Struthio camelus: one gene and its partner. The main gene of each other region encodes a partner of the protein of the gene in region 2 in a complex. Links are inferred from orthologs where the notes say so. Each region holds a gene or a part of one and is shown on either strand. Other genes may lie near its edges.

Evidence for each region. Proteins that work in one complex are often made in the same cells at the same time.
Region 1: TMEM67 (region 2) and B9D1 share a complex: the UniProt entries of both Homo sapiens proteins name them as parts of the tectonic-like complex. The link is inferred for Struthio camelus from reciprocal best matches to the Homo sapiens genes TMEM67 and B9D1.

The regions. Positions count from the first base shown.
Region 1 is NC_090956.1:3,416,616-3,424,573, reverse strand, and holds the start of B9D1 (B9 domain-containing protein 1), read right to left. Parts: upstream 3,011-7,958; 5' UTR 2,656-3,010; coding exon 2,569-2,655; intron 1,397-2,568; coding exon 1,328-1,396; intron 1,227-1,327; coding exon 1,115-1,226; intron 1,045-1,114; coding exon 948-1,044; intron 383-947; coding exon 320-382; intron 1-319. UniProt on the Homo sapiens protein: Component of the tectonic-like complex, a complex localized at the transition zone of primary cilia and acting as a barrier that prevents diffusion of transmembrane proteins between the cilia and plasma membranes.
Region 2 is NC_090943.1:149,423,160-149,430,470, forward strand, and holds the start of TMEM67 (meckelin), read right to left. Parts: upstream 3,065-7,311; 5' UTR 3,020-3,064; coding exon 2,836-3,019; intron 1,018-2,835; coding exon 929-1,017; intron 1-928. UniProt on the Homo sapiens protein: Required for ciliary structure and function. Part of the tectonic-like complex which is required for tissue-specific ciliogenesis and may regulate ciliary membrane composition.

The DNA.
Region 1 (7,958 bases), on a different chromosome or scaffold from region 2:
GAGTTCAGAGATGAGTCTGTTAAAATTAGCAACTCTTTCTCAAACAAACCTTGTTCAAATCCAAGGATGACAAAAAAGGCAAGTTAGACAGCATTACTCCAAGCAAATAGTTAACAGGTTTTATGAAAGCTCTCTGAAGGACACTTTAGCTTCACCTCACTTAGTTCCTCAACTTTAGCTTCACCCATAAAACTCAAAACTATCTGTTTATGATACAAAATACGTGTACGTATGCACAAGTGAGTAGCTGGAGATACTTTTTTTTTTTTTTTTTTAAGAAGTTCTTCTTAGTCTTACTCACAAAGTCTTTAATTATTACCTTGTAAACTTCTGCAGCCTAGATGTAGACTCCGGAACAAACATAGGAATAGTTCTTATGTGCCTAAAACAAACATGAAAGGCACAGAAATTAAGAAATGAACCAAACAGCAATGGCAAGCCTCCTTATTTTTATTAAAGAGGCCAGAATTTCAGATACATTATATCACTGAACATCTCAGAGTAAAAATACTTTCCCATCCACAGAGGAAGGGCTTGCTTGCATAAGAAAGCTAGCACAGAGCAAACAAGTCACTTCAGAGTGCCATACATGCTGCTGCATCCTAGGAGTCCCAGAGATATAAATACAGAAGAGCATAGTAACTTACTCTACTTCCAGTGGCAGAAATGAAAGCTTAGCGCCTGCTGAGAGTGCTGGGGAAGAAGAACTGACATACTGCACTTCATACTTGGACTTTCTTCATACTAGTTTTGACTTTACGGAATTGCCTGCAGGATTACCAAAAATCATCTGATAACCAGGGGCTTCTACTAGAAGATCTATGCTGTTCATACCACTCTGATGACGTGACAAGGAGATAAGGGGACATTTTTGGCTCTGAAACAGCACAGATACTTAGAAATAAATTCCATTTTGATCCTGAAAGATGAGTAGGTCATCACCTCACCTTCCAGGTATAATGGGAACATGAACAGCTCCATAGCCTCTGACCACATCGTTTCCAAAAAAATCAGGTCCATAGACGCTTACTACAATCTGTGGCCCTGCAAAAGAAATGGAAGTCAGCAGGTTGCCTGGTCTGCGAGATGGGCCCCACCACCCCTGGGCACTCACAGCCGGATGGGTTTGTGCTCTTGAAGGTAATGTCGATGGGGAAGTTCCAGACGAGTGTAGAGTTTGCGGCATCGCTCTTGGAGGTGATCTGGGAGATGCCCTCCTCCAGGCCCTGCAGGGAGAGCGTGGCATGAGCCAAGGACCCCTGCCGGGCCCGTTTTACACAGGCCAGCAACGCAGCCCGCGTTTCAAGGGGACGTAAAAGGCTCTTACAGCAGTCGGAACCCAGTCCTGGCCGTAAACGAAGCAGAACTTGCAGTAGAGGTCATCAAACTCGGGGAACTGCGGGAGAGAGAAAGGCTGCGTTACTGGGGCTAGGGTTGGGGCCGAGCTACATTAGCGGGACCGAGGGCCAGCCTGTGTTACGAGGCTGAGGGAGCCGGCGCCAGCGGGGCCGAGAGCAGGCCGCGGTACCAGCACTGCGGCCAGTCCACTCCACGAAGCCAAGGTCCTCAGGCTCAGACCAAGCCCAGCTACCAGGGCCGGGGCCGGGGCTGAGGCCGGGCTGCGTTATGGGAACCGAGCGCCAACACACGTTTGCAGGACGAGGGCTGAGGCCGGGCTGCGTTATGCGAACCGAGCGCCAACACACTTTTGCGGGACGAGGGCTGAGGCCGGGCTGCGTTATGGGAACCGAGCGCCAACCCACGTTTGCAGGACGAGGGCTGAGGCCAGGCTGCGTTATGCGAACCGAGCGCCAACACACGTTAGCGGGACGAGGGCTGAGGCCGGGCTGCGTTATGGGAACCGAGCGCCAACACACGTTTGCAGGACGAGGGCTGAGGCCGGGCTGCGTTATGGGAACCGAGCGCCAACACACGTTTGCAGGACGAGGGCTGAGGCCGGGCTGCGTTATGGGAACCGAGCGCCAACCCACGTTAGCGGGACGAGGGCTGAGGCCGGGCTGCGTTATGGGAACCGAGCGCCAACACACGTTAGCGGGACGAGGGCTGAGGCCGGGCTGCGTTATGGGAACCGAGCGCCAACACACGTTAGCGGGACGAGGGCTGAGGCCGGGCTGCGTTATGGGAACCGAGCGCCAACCCACGTTTGCAGGACGAGGGCTGAGGCCAGGCTGCGTTATGCGAACCGAGCGCCAACACACGTTAGCGGGACGAGGGCTGAGGCCGGGCTGCGTTATGGGAACCGAGCGCCAACCCACGTTTGCAGGACGAGGGCTGAGGCCGGGCTGCGTTATGGGAACCGAGCGCCAACCCACGTTAGCGGGACGAGGGCTGAGGCCGGGCTGCGTTGCCGGGCCGGGGCGGGCCAAAGCCAGGCCACGGTGCCAGGACAGCGGCCAGGGCCGGGCCTGGGCCCTCAGCCGGCACCGAGCCCGGGGCCGGGCCTGCCTTACCGGGGCCGGGGGCTAGGCCGCGCCGCCGGTGCCGAGACCGGTCCGCGCTGCCCACGCCCCACAAGCCCATCGCGACCCCCCGGCCAGTCCCGCTCACCTGCCCGCTCTCGATCTGCCCGCTGACGGCCACCAGGAAGACGTCGGGGCTGCTGCTGCTGCTGCCGCTGCCGGCGGCGGCCGCCATGGCGCCGAGCGCGGCCTGGCTCGTTGCTGGGGGGGCGCGCGCGCCGCCGCCGTCGCCCTGGATACCGCGGACGGCGCGGCGCTGGGGACACGCTTCCTCGGCGGGCGGCGCTTCGCGGGGCCGCCGCTGGGGGGGGGGGGAGGAGGAGGAGGAGGAGGAGGAGGAGGAGGAGGAGGAGGGGGAGGGAGGCCCGGCCGTGGCTCGCCGCTTAACGGCGCTGCCCACCGCCCAAATTCAGCCCCCCGAAAGGCAGGCTACCCCCTGCCCTTCCCCGCCCTGCCGAGAGAGCCCGGCTGAGGCCTGCCGCTCTCATCACACCCGTGGCCCGGGGGGCGGGGAGGCCGCAGCGCCCCCCCCCCCCCCCCCCGGCCCTCGCCGTGCGATTCGTCGAGTTTCTCTAGATTTATGTGGTTTATGCTCATATTTTCCAGCCCGGTTGGAGCCCCGCGGCGGCCGCTAGGGGCGGCCTCGCGCCGGGAGGGTTTCCTTTATTTTTGTTTAATTTGAGATTTCTTTGGTTTGTTCCCCCCCCGCCCTGCTTTTTGCTTTTTTGGCATTCAGCAAACCAGACCAGATCGGGGTTGGGGCGGAGGGGGGGGCAGAAATCCCACCCTTTGGCCCCTGCCCCCCAGAAAAAAAAAAAAAAAAAAACAAAAAACCCGCTCTTTCCAAGGGAAAAATATCAGGAGGCGAAAATAAAGCGGCCCCTGACCAGCCGCCCCGGGCCGCCGAGTGACCAGCTACCGCCGCCCTCGCTCCGGGCCGACGCGGGGATGTTTTCACCCCCGGCCCGGCCCGCGCGGCGGCGGCCTGAGCCCGGAAAGGGCCGTGGGGGCTGCGGCCGGCGCCCCTCACCCTGCCTCTGGGCTCCTCCGGGCGCGGGGGGCTGCTGCTGGCCGTTGCCCCCACGCGGGCGCGCTGCGCCGGCCGGCCAGGCCCCCGAAAGCCGGTACTTTGTCACTGCCGCCTTCTCCGGTACCGGCAACGCCACCCCGGGGGCTGGTTCGGTGCCGCCCGCGGGCGCTCGGCCCAGCGGCAACGTTTTATTTATTTATTTATTTTTAAATCCCAAATATTTACGATCAAGCCCTGCTCAAACGGCCAGGGAGATACGTTTTATGGTGTCGTTAATCCGCAATAAAAAACAAAAACCACCCAACGGCTTTGTTTTCAGGCTGTTTGCACAAGGAGGCCGGTCTGAGCCATCGCCGCCTGCTTCTCCTCGAGGTGCGGCCAGCGTCCTGCCCTTCAGGCGCCTCCTGCTGCTCTTGCCGCCCGCCGCCCCCCGACCGATGGCCGGAGCGCACGGACTACTGCTCAAATTCTTGCTAAAATATACTTGCCCCGAGATTTCTTTCGCTGGGGGGGGGGGGGGGGGACCCAGCACTTCCCCCTTCATTAGGCCGGGTAATTAGCAGGTGGGCGCTGGCCGCCTGCCCTTGGCGCTCCGGCCGGCGAGCCGCGCAGCGCCCGGTCTTGCACGAAGAATTAACTCGTATGGCAACGTGTTACCGTCCGTGAGATGTATTTATTTATTTTGCTGAATGAGGAAAATTAATTAGTGCCAGGTAGAATAACTCACACGCGGGCAGGAGAGGGTGAGGAAGCCTGGGGAAGCCGGCGGGGCGATCGGGTTCGGTACGGGCGTAAGGAACGACGAGCAATGAAGTTATTCCTGGGCCGCGGCGGGATTGCAACGGAGAGACCTGTCGAGCTGCTGGAAAAAAGCCCTGAGAGGGAGATTGCAGCCGCGCAGAGCGTGCTGAATGAGGCCCTGGCGGGATGCGCACAAATGTCTAATGAAGACCCCCCCCCCCCCGGCCGCCCCCATAAAGGAGCAGACAGGGCCCAGCCATCGAGGTACAGCCGTGTACTTAAAGCTTAATAGTGAAGGTTTAATGGATAAAGTCAATTTAATTACTCATCCTGTGAAAGCTCGTACAAATATCAAGTGCTTATTAGTATTCATGCCACCTGCATGGTCGCGCAACGATGACAGGTTAAAGGTTGTGTCGAACTGCACCTGGGATGGATTCAGATTTGGGGAACGGGCATCCCTGAAAGAGGAGGAAAAGTTTGTTACGGGAAAGACCTTGGGTAGGCTTTGAAGAACGGTTCTCTCAAGGAAACCACCACGGCCACGATTAAAAAAGGGCCAGGTTACAGCGAGGGCAGAGCAGCCGGCGCCGGAGGCGCTGCCGGGGCTGCACGCAAACCCCTGGCCGCCCTCCTGCCGGCGCAGCGGCCTCGCTGAGGCCAGAGCATTCGTTAGTTCCTTATTTCGGGTGTTTTCAAGCATCCCTCCCGCCCTGGCGCTGCCTGACCCGGCTCGGCGCAGACACCGAGCGGCCAGAGCCCGGCGCTCGCGGCACCGTCGCCGCCTCCCGGGCCCCGCGCTCAAATCGCTGCTTCGTCCTCCCGCGCCAGCCTTGGCCGATGCTCTGCTGCCCGGAGCCCCCGACGGCCCTGCGACCCTCCCCGGGGCGTCGAGCCGGTGAATCAGGCGCAGCAGCTCCCTCCTGGCCCCGCTCATCTGTGCAATGGCGAAAGCAGGGCTGGGGCTGGCGACGTCCGGGCTCAGGCTTCGGTGCACCATTTGGTGGGTTGTGACCAGCTGGGAACCTTCCATTTTTTGCAGAAATGCACCGAAATGCTAAAAGCAGCGGGCGGCACTCGGGCAGCGACGCCAGCCCCTTGCACCCCTCTCTGCCGCCTGCCAATAGCGATGCCGCGGCCGACGTAACGGGGCCCGTGCTGAAACCTCCCGCCCGGAGCTCGGCTGCCCTTAGGAAACCGCCACGGTGCCAGGGCCGGGCAGAAAACCGACATCTCTGCGAGCCAGAACTGCCGGGATATCGCCCCCGTGCCGAGTCCCTGATGCCGTAACCCTAGTTCACCGCCGCATCTAGGACAGGAGCGAAAACGCTTCGCGCCCGCCCGCAGCCAGCAGCCCGGTCTGGGGCTGGCGCGCTCCGTCGGCGAGCGAGCCCGCGGCACGTTTCGGGGGCGAGGGGCCGCGCGGAGCCGGCCGGCCGCCTCTGCACGGGCCGGGCCGGCGGTGGCCTGGCGGCTGCAGCGCGCACGGCTCCGCAGTTGCAGCTCCCAGAGGATGCTGGCGGTCAAAGGCGAAGACGCGGCTTGTTTCCCACGCTCGCGTCTGTGTCCTTCGAGCTAGCTCAGTCCCCCCCCAGCCCCCCGGGAGCCGGCGCGGCGGGAGGAGGCCGGTTCCCACAGCTGCGCCCGCCAGCGGCCGCGGCCGGGAGGGTCCCGAGGCCGCGGCGGCTCCCGGCACGCCGTGGCCGCCCCAGCGTGTGCACAGCAGGCGCCAGCCCGCTCCCCGGGCCCGACGTGCGGGGAAGACAGTCACGTCGGGCGAGACGCTCCTCCACATCCTCAGCTTTTCTCCGGAAAGCAGAGTGGGGCTTTGCAGCCAATAAACTGTGAATTAATAAAACAAAAAAAAAAGGAAAATAATCCACAGGGATGATGCACCGGCCACCGGTGAGGGCGCGCGCTGCCTGGCCGAGGGCTGGCGCCGGGCGCCGGCGTCGTTTGCCCCGGGCTCGTTAGGCTGCGCAGGGAGGTGTTGCCGCGTGCGGCTCCTCCGGGAGGAGGGCGCGGGGACAGGGCCGCCTGCGAGCGGCCCCCAGGGCCAGCTGGGCACGCGGAGGGGACAGCAGCGCTTCGGAAACGCCTTGTCCGTCCCACTCCTCCTGCTTGGCGGTAAAACGGGCCGATTTAGGATTTTTTTTTTTTTTTTGAAAGCCTCATAAAGACCAAGTTTTCCCCTTTGCAGCCAAAACCTTCTAACAGCAGCGGTTCCCGCCGCACACAGGCTTCGGGGCGCGGGCGAGGGCACGGGGGCCAGGGCGGACGCAGCACGGCTAAGGAGCTACGGCGCGGAGCAGCGGCGCGGCGAGGCCTCCCCCCGCCGCCGGCGGCCACTGCGTGCCCCAAGGCAGGGTGCTGAGCAGGCCGCTGAGCACACGGCGGCTGCCTCGCCGCCGGCCCGGGTGGGAGCTGCTGCGGGACCCCGCCAGGGCTCGGGGTGCCGCTGCTGCTGCTGCCGGGGCTCAGGGTGCTGCCGCCGCCACCAAGGCTCGGGGTGCTGCTGCCGCCGGGGCTCGGGGTGCCGCCGCTGCCAGGGCTCAGGGTGCTGCGCTGCTGCTGCCGGGGCTCGGGGTGCCGCCGCCACCAGGGCTCAGGGTGCCGCTGCCGCTGGGGCTCAGGGTGCCGCCGCTGCCACCAGGACTCGGGGTGCCGCTGCCGCCGGGGCTCAGGGTGCCGCCGCTGCCACCAGGGCTCGGGGTGCCGCTGCCGCCGGGGCTCAGGGTGCCGCCGCTGCCACCAGGGCTCGGGGTGCCAGCGGTAGCTCGCGCCGCGCCAGAAAGTCAAGCCACGCTTCCAGTTTATACAGTTTAATACATGTGAAACGAGATACATTTCCTTTTGAGTACTGAAGGCATAAATAACAGAAGATATATGTGAATGCATAAATATGAGGCGGCATGGAAGGAACCAAACCAAAACGATTTGGGGGAAAAAAAAAAAAGGTTTTTTTCTTTTTTTTTTTTTTTGCGTGCGTTTTGTGTTTTGTTTCTGTCTCTTCCGCGGGGCGGGCTGGCGGGGCGGCCGCTCGCACCGGGCAGCAGCTTTCCGCGGCGGAGCCGGGATGACGAGCGGGCCGGGGGAAGGAGGTGCGAGAGCGCAAATAAACCCCAAAAGCAAGGAAGAAAGAAAAAAAAAAGAAAGAAAAAAAAACCAAAAAACCCCCAAAAAACAAAAAAAGAAAAAAAAACAAAAAGAGAAGGAGCGGTGTGGACAGGTGACCTGAATTGCTCGAGCGGCTGCTCAGGCCGGCGCGGCCGCGGGGGCCGTCGGGAAGGCGGCGCGGCCGCGGCCGGGCGCAGGCGTGCGCGCAGGGACGATGAACGGAGAGGCCGCGGATGAGACGGTGCCTGGGGCCGCCTAGTTTTCGAAGGCGTTACGCTCCGAGGAGAACAAGCCACTAGCTTCAATGCTCACAAAGAACATCACCTAAGACAGCGCTTCATACCTTTACATAGTGTATCAATAATTTACTTTGAACTGTAGTAGACAAAATACATTTCTTAAATAATTTACTATTTATTTGTTTTGTTTTTTACCGCTCTGTAATTTTTCTCCTTTTTTTAATCTTTTTTTTTTTTTTTTGGTAACACAAGAAACCTTGTTTGTGCACGTTAGTTCAGATTATTGCAACATTTAACCTGCATTTCAGTTAAAAAAGGGAAAAAAAAGAAAAGAAAAAGGACAGTTGTACA
Region 2 (7,311 bases):
CTCCCTTGTCACCTTTTTGTCTTTGCATGAGCTTTGTCTTAGGATCAGAATGATTAATAATAATGATAATGCCAGCATTATAGGAAAAAAAGAAATAGCAGAAAGATCAAAACACCAACGGATATCCCTCAAAGTCTTTCTAAAGTAGCAACAAGATGATGAAAAGAGGGAGGAGATTAGTTACGTTACCCAGTCAGCCATTAAGCATCTCACTAACCCAGCTCAAGTCGATCTCTTGAGAGTTTTTCTTACTGGAGAGAAAGAAGTACTTTGGAAGGCTCTTACTTTCAAGAGTTGTTTTTGGTAGAGAAATATTATTTCTCTATTTACTATAGCGGGAGAAAGCTGGTTAAGTCTGGTGCCTGTGGCTCACTGCTGTGAATACTGAGAAAACTAAGTTTACTTTGTCGAGACAGGCAGAAAGAACAGAGCAAATCACAAAGGTATGTGTAACTAAAATAACGCAAAATGAGCTGCTGCTTTTAAAGTGAAAAGATAAATGACAGGGTACGAAGATACAGCCCAAATATTACAAAAATAGGATTTATATAAATAACCAAATAAGATAAGGAAAAAAACAAACAAACAAACTAAAAAACTGAAACTCATCTTTGGCTTTCTATAAAGAAGTGGTCTCAGGGTAAGAGTAACACAACATGAAGCAGAAGAGAAAAGGAGCAGAAGGAAATTAAACATTTAAAATACTCTTACTTTGCCTAAAAACACAATTTTATAATTAAAAGGTCCCTGCAAATTAATAATAATAAACAGTTTTAAAGAGGAAAATAAATACTACATGGTCTTAAGGTTAAAAATTCACTGATTTTCAAAATAATCTAAAATTAAAGAAAAATAACTTGCAGTTAGATGGAAGTTCCAGACTTAAAAAAGCATTATTATGGCAGACTATGAAAAGTTCAATGCTTACCATACTTTCCGGGCATTTTTCACAAATAACAGAGGGCCCACCATTATTAGAAACCATCCTGAATCCTGGCTGACATACACATGAATGACCTGGAAAAAAATAATTCCCTTTTAAACTACATAAATCAAAACTGTTTTTTCCACATAATAGAGCTGTTATTTTTCTTAAGAGATCAGTTTAGTTTCTTAGGTACACAAATAAAACACTTGAGTGTCATGTGCATGAAAATCGCCTTGTTTTTTAAAAAAAGTAGATGTTACAGACTGTAGGAAAAGGTTTTGGGAAAATCAGATTAGGTTGACTGATACAGTGGGAGAAAAACTATACTAGGTGTGTGTCTTTGCGTTCTTCCTTCAGCTATACCAGTTGATCTAATAACTGGTACAAATCTTGACTCACTTAGCCCATCCTCTGGACAACAGTATTAGCATCATATGTCTGTATTCAGTTTTTAATCCTTCGAATAGGAAATCACTCTGAAAAACAAAACATAACCTTTATATGCGAAGATTTTTTCAAAAATATAAATGTAGTTTGTAAAGCTATTTTAAATTCAAAGCTTTTAAAACTGTGCATCCGGATCAGTTTCCAATGAGTAACAGAGCGTACCTAATGTTTATTATTAAAGTAAACACAATTACCATGGCACACCACAGCAGACGCTTGTTACACTCAATAGCATTTTTTTCCAGTAACTTTTTACTCTCAAGATATTGTGGATCCCTCTCTGTAAGTTCGAAGACATTTTATTAGTACTTAGAGTCAATTCTGTTTTATAGTGTGTGTTTATTATTATTTAAGGTCATAGAAACGTGCATGTAAACATTCACATAAAATTTGGTGAGGTTTTATAATCTAAACCTAAACTGCTCTAAGAAGATGCTGTGGAGAAGTCTAAATCCTTGAGCTCATGGAATCCTTGAGCCTTGGAATTTATATGTTTCCTTGAAGCCCCGAGCAGAACAGTGATGTTAGAGGAAAATTCAAGCCTAAAGGACTTACGGATTTAGATAACTATATGATCAATGCAACTGAAAACCGCTACAGTATGTTTCTTATGGATATCTTAAGATATCATTAAAGGTGGTGGGACAGGTGACCATCTTTTTTTATGCAACAGTCTCAAGCCAAGAGTATCCCACAGCGTGGGGACAAAGGCAAGGGACAACCCATCGTTCTTGCTGTAGCTACGCCGTAGGAAGCAGAGCATGCAACAGTTCATTGGCCAGAACCTCACATAAGGGAGCGCAGCTGTCCAGATGACTGCGTTTAATCGAGGGACCAGCTCCAAAGAAATAAGCTGTTGGGTCTTAGTTTGATTTGTTAATGTACATACACCACTGAAACTACCACTTTTCCAAAACTGAGTATTCATAAAAGCGGAACACTATCATACACTCATGTCTCTTAAAGAAAGCGAACATTGCTCACTTAGTACATTTTTCACTTAGTACTGTCAATACGTGTAGCATCCTCCACATTCCCACATGGGACTCGGATTAATCTGTGCACAGCCTGAAAGTCTCAGATATTTAAGTTCTCAGACATGTGAGTTTTGACAAGAAGCTTCAAGTTTTGGAAGCTCTCAAGAAGAGAAATTTAGGGACCTATAGAATTTTACTGATAAAAAAGTGGGCATTTGTAACAACAGAAATGCCTAAGGAAAGAAAGATTAGAGAAAAGGTGTACATATATTGCTCTTGGATATATAACAGAATACAGATATCGTATCTGTGCTACGGACACCTATGCCTTTTGGAAGGTCTGACCCTTTCCACTGCTTTTCAGACTCGTACCTGAGAACAATCGTTTTGCAAACTAAAGCAGCCCAAATCTGAGCCCAGATTTGGCACCTCCAGCCGCGAGGAGCCCCGCTCGCCCGCCCCCCTGCGGCGCGGATCGCTCACCGTCGGCGCTCGGCCTCTGGTGGGGCCCACACGGCCCGCAGGCCAGGCGGGAGATGTCGAAGTAACGGGCGTCGCCGCAGCCGCCGGGCCGCCGCAGCGGGAAGGAGAAGCCGCGGCCCGGCGGGAGCCCCGCGGCCAGCGAGAGCAGCAGCGCGGCGGCGCCCCACCACCGCGCCGTCGCCATGGCTACCCAGCAGCTGCAGCCGCGCGCTCTCACTGGCCAATCGCCTCTGGTACGGAGCGCCCGAAGGGCCCAACCGCGGAGGCGAAGCGTTCACGGGGGAGAGGGCGCGCCTGCGCCGGACGTGCCTCCGCCGGGGAGCGGGGAGGGCGGCAGGGCATCGGCGGTGCGGCAGAGCAGCGTCAGGTGGTGCAAACGTGTGGTTTTCGTTTTTAAGGAGACGGGTAGCAGAGCGATCATACAGAATGCCCAGATGAACGCACACAAAGCCAAAGTTACCCCTTTTTTCACTTGCTCTTATTCACTTTCCCCCAAGCATCACCAAAACTTTTCTGGGTACTCGAGCGTCCTCGGTTTTCATTATTCCTCACTATCTCTTTACTGAATGATAACCGCATAACTATTTTGAGTCCGTATAATAGTGCTGCTTGGAAGCATATATGCTTATCGCACCAAATGCTTCATTCCTAATCAGATTTGTATTGCTGCGTTGATGGAATTTTTTAAAGGCTGAGATACTGGGTGATTATGCTTAAACTTTTTATGCTTCAGTTCCTGTTCATAACATCTCTCCTAGAGATAGCGAACAGCTATCGCAGATAATTCCTATGTTGTATGTTCTTTTTTTAAACATCTCCAGTCAAGGAGAAGACAGCAGCTCCCTCTGTGCCAAGCACCCAGGCAGTGAAGCTAGGAAAGTGGGGTTATAAGCATTATTTCCAGAGAAAATAGCATTTATACCTGCAGTAAAATTATTTCTCAAGAATCTTAACCCTATTTTTGTGAGATTTCCAACCACTGCTTCTAAGCTATATCATGTGAAGAGGGATTTCATAAATCGTTAATACTGTGATAACCAGCAAGCTTCTGGATGCCAAGAGAAGGCAGCTTCACAACTTCTGGTCAGCCTCATGTCAGTTACTTTCTAGCTATTTTCTAAGATATAATGGAATGCAATTCCCCAAACTCAGTTTGAAAGGACAGAAGGACCTCATTTTATTAGTTACTCATGGTGTAACCAAACCACCAGTGCTATGTAATTGTATTGTTAAATCAGGAAACGTGTTTCCAAAAGACACAGAGAAGAGAGAAGCGTGCTTTGGATGTGGCTCTGCGGAAGACTCCATCAGAAGCACTTTCTCATATTCTACTTCCTAGGCTCCAGATAGAGATCGATCCCAGAAAAGACAGATAAGGGCTACCAGGATGACCAAGGGGGGGGGGGTGTGAATCTACCCCAAGCTTTTTTAGTCTATCAGAATGGAGCTGACTAGCAATAGAACTGCTGTCTAGAAATATAAGGGAATACGTCTAAAACACAGGGAAAGGGAGGTGAGATGAACACTGCATGGATAAAATACTATCTAACCTTAATGATGAAAGTAGCCTGCCTCTCCCCTTCTGCATGGACAGTCTTACCCCTTACTTACTTCTCCCTTCCTCCCATTTCTCCCAACGCACGCTTGGAGCCAACCTCGAGAAAGTTTAGGTTGGAAACTGTTTTTCTAACAATTGGCCCCTGAGCTTTGGGAACCGCCTAGGAACAGAAGCACAGGGTGCAACACCCCCTCTCCGGTGCCAGAGGCGCCCGCAGGCCCAGGCCCAGGCCTGAGGCGGCTCCCAGCGGCTCTCAGCCTCGGGGCCCACAGCCCTCGCAGGGACTTCCCCCTCGCCCCTTTTCCTGAACCGGGCAGGCGCCGGAACTGACGGAAGCGAGAGGCTGAAGGTCGCTGCAAACAGCCGTAACCCTAGCGATCAGCGCAGCCGCCACCGCCCGCTGTCACCGCGGCGCGGACGACACCGTTCTCCTCGGCGGCGCGCGCCGCCAACGCTGTCCCGCGGGGCGCCCCGGCGGCGCATGCGCACTGCTCGCAAAGCGGCCCCCGCACATCCCGCCGCCGTGACCACGCGACGCTGCACGCGTCAGCGGCGCGCCTACGCAGAGCGCATGCGTACTGAAACGAGCGGGGAGCCAGACAGCGCATGCGCAGCGGAAAGCGCGGTAGGGACAGGGCGTTCCCGGCCCCGCCTCCCGGAGGCGGTTCGGAGAGGGGGGAAACCGCGTGCGCGCCGAGCATGCGCACGAGCGCAGGGTGGCGCTCGGCGCCGCGCCGCGCCGCGCGGCCGGCGGGGCCCGGAAGGATTCGTGCAAGTTCAGCCGTAGGGTCGGAGGGGAGGGGGTCGCGCAGGCGCAGTTCGGCCCCGGCCTGCTTGTTGCGGGGGGAAGAAGGAGGACGCCATCTTGGCGGTGCTGCGCTGGGAGCTGCGGGGCTCGGTGCTGAGCCTGTCCCGGCGGCGTGTCCGGTGGGTGGATGGCGCGCGGGAGGGCGCCTGGCTTCCCTAGGGCTCTGCGTAGCCGAGGGCGCGGGGTGCGCGCCGGCGGAGCGGCTGCGCGGCGGTTGCCCGCGCTGAGGCCCCTCGTCCCGGCTGGCGGCTTTCGCCCTTCGCTCCCTAGTGCCCCCATCCCGGTGCCGCGGGGAGGCCGCGCTCGTTCTGCGCGGAGTCGGGTCACAGGCGGCCTCTCCGCCGCTCCCCGCGCCTCGGCCTCGCCCGCTCGGCGGCGGGGCGCGTTTCCGCCGGTGCGGCCGGCCGCGCCGCTGCTCCGGGGCTTCCCAGCGGCCTCTCGCCGAGGAGCAGCGCTCGGAACCGGCCCTGCGGCCGCCCAGCTGCAGGGCACCCTCCCGTCTGCCTTCAGCGGTGTTGGAGGCTTTCACTCCCAGTGACTTACTTTGACTATTGAGGCTTGTTTTGGAGAAGATTAGAATAAACAATCCTTCCCTGACCCAGCATATTCTTAACTCACATATTCATCAAAATTCAGTTTTATGCTTCTGGTATTTCTGTGGGTGTTCCTGTTGGCTTCATTGCATACAGATTGTGTAATCTTTCTATCCGGTAGTAAAAGTGCTAGTCTAGTGCAGTCCTATTTTCATGAAATATTTGAAGGCTTTTTTTTTTCAGTGAGGTGGTATGAAGTTTTAATAGCATTTGCAATGTGCTCTGCAAAGGCTGTGGAAGTGTAGGCAGGCACAGTACGACTTTCTAGTTAGCTCAGCTTAAATACAGAATTTCCTAAAGCATTAGTGTGCACTTTTCTGTGCTTTTAAAGTGTTGGCATGAGGCCATCTGTTTATTATCTAAACACTTGTTCTTTGAAGGCCTTGCTCAGTTGATGATCTGGTTTTTGTCTTGTGAGATATTTTCATCCTAAAAGTCACTTTTAGGTCATTCATTTAAACAGTTGCACTGGTTGTCTGTGTTGGCTTTCGCTTCTTCGTTGCTTAATGCACAGCTAGTTAAAGCCTATTATCCGAACTTGTATTTTTGGTATTTTTGTTTATGGACTTCTTAAATATCACGTTATGATCTTGAATCGGTGTGTCTTGTTTGAGCACTGCAATTTGTATTCTGTATCCGTGGGCCGTCGTGGAGGACTTGACGTTTACCACCTAAGAAGTACTGAGGATATCTGGTTCTGAATGCTGGGTAAAAATTGGGATAGGAATACAGAGTTGCAAAATTCAGAAATGCTACAGGTTTCATACATCATGAAATAGCAGGCCAGCGGATTTGATTTTCCAAGAAACGAAGGTTCTGTACAAAAATTCTGCCCTTGAGTTCTCTCCTTGCTTGTTGGCACTGCTACCATATCTGTTGAGAAGATCGATTATAAAGATGCGGAGAGCTGATGATCTTCATTGCAGTTATCAAACAGGCAGTTGTCTTCAGTTTGTGTTTATACAGTGCTGACCTAGAAGCAACATAGAATCAGTTAAAAAACTGGGGCTTCTCCGACTTGTTTTGTAAGCTCAGGAGGAGCGATTAGTTACTGTGATCAACAGATAACTGTGCATCAGAAATCTTCATTCATTAGTGTGTCATGACACTTGTTATTGAGCAAGAGTTTTGTCCAAGGAATATTCTCAGATACTTGTCATCAAGGTCTTGGGCTTTTTTTCTGAAGGGATGCAGCCATTTGTCTGGAGGCTTGTCGTTGCTCTGAGAGAGTAGCGTTCTATGTATATATGACACTAGATGATAATTTAAAAAACTGGGATGCATGGAAGTTAGTTTGTTAAGTGATTCTTATATTTGAAAGGCAGTATGCATTTAGGGAAAATAGTGAACTCTACTTTGTAAATTGAAGTAGTCACTGAAATATCTCCTTGTTGACTCTTTTTGCTCTTTCATGCAATTGTCTTCACTGTGTACCCTTAAGTGCAATGCTGGAATGGTGAGTAGCATACTCTTGTTGTGAACTTTAAAAGCAGGTGGACTTCAGAAGAATGGACACG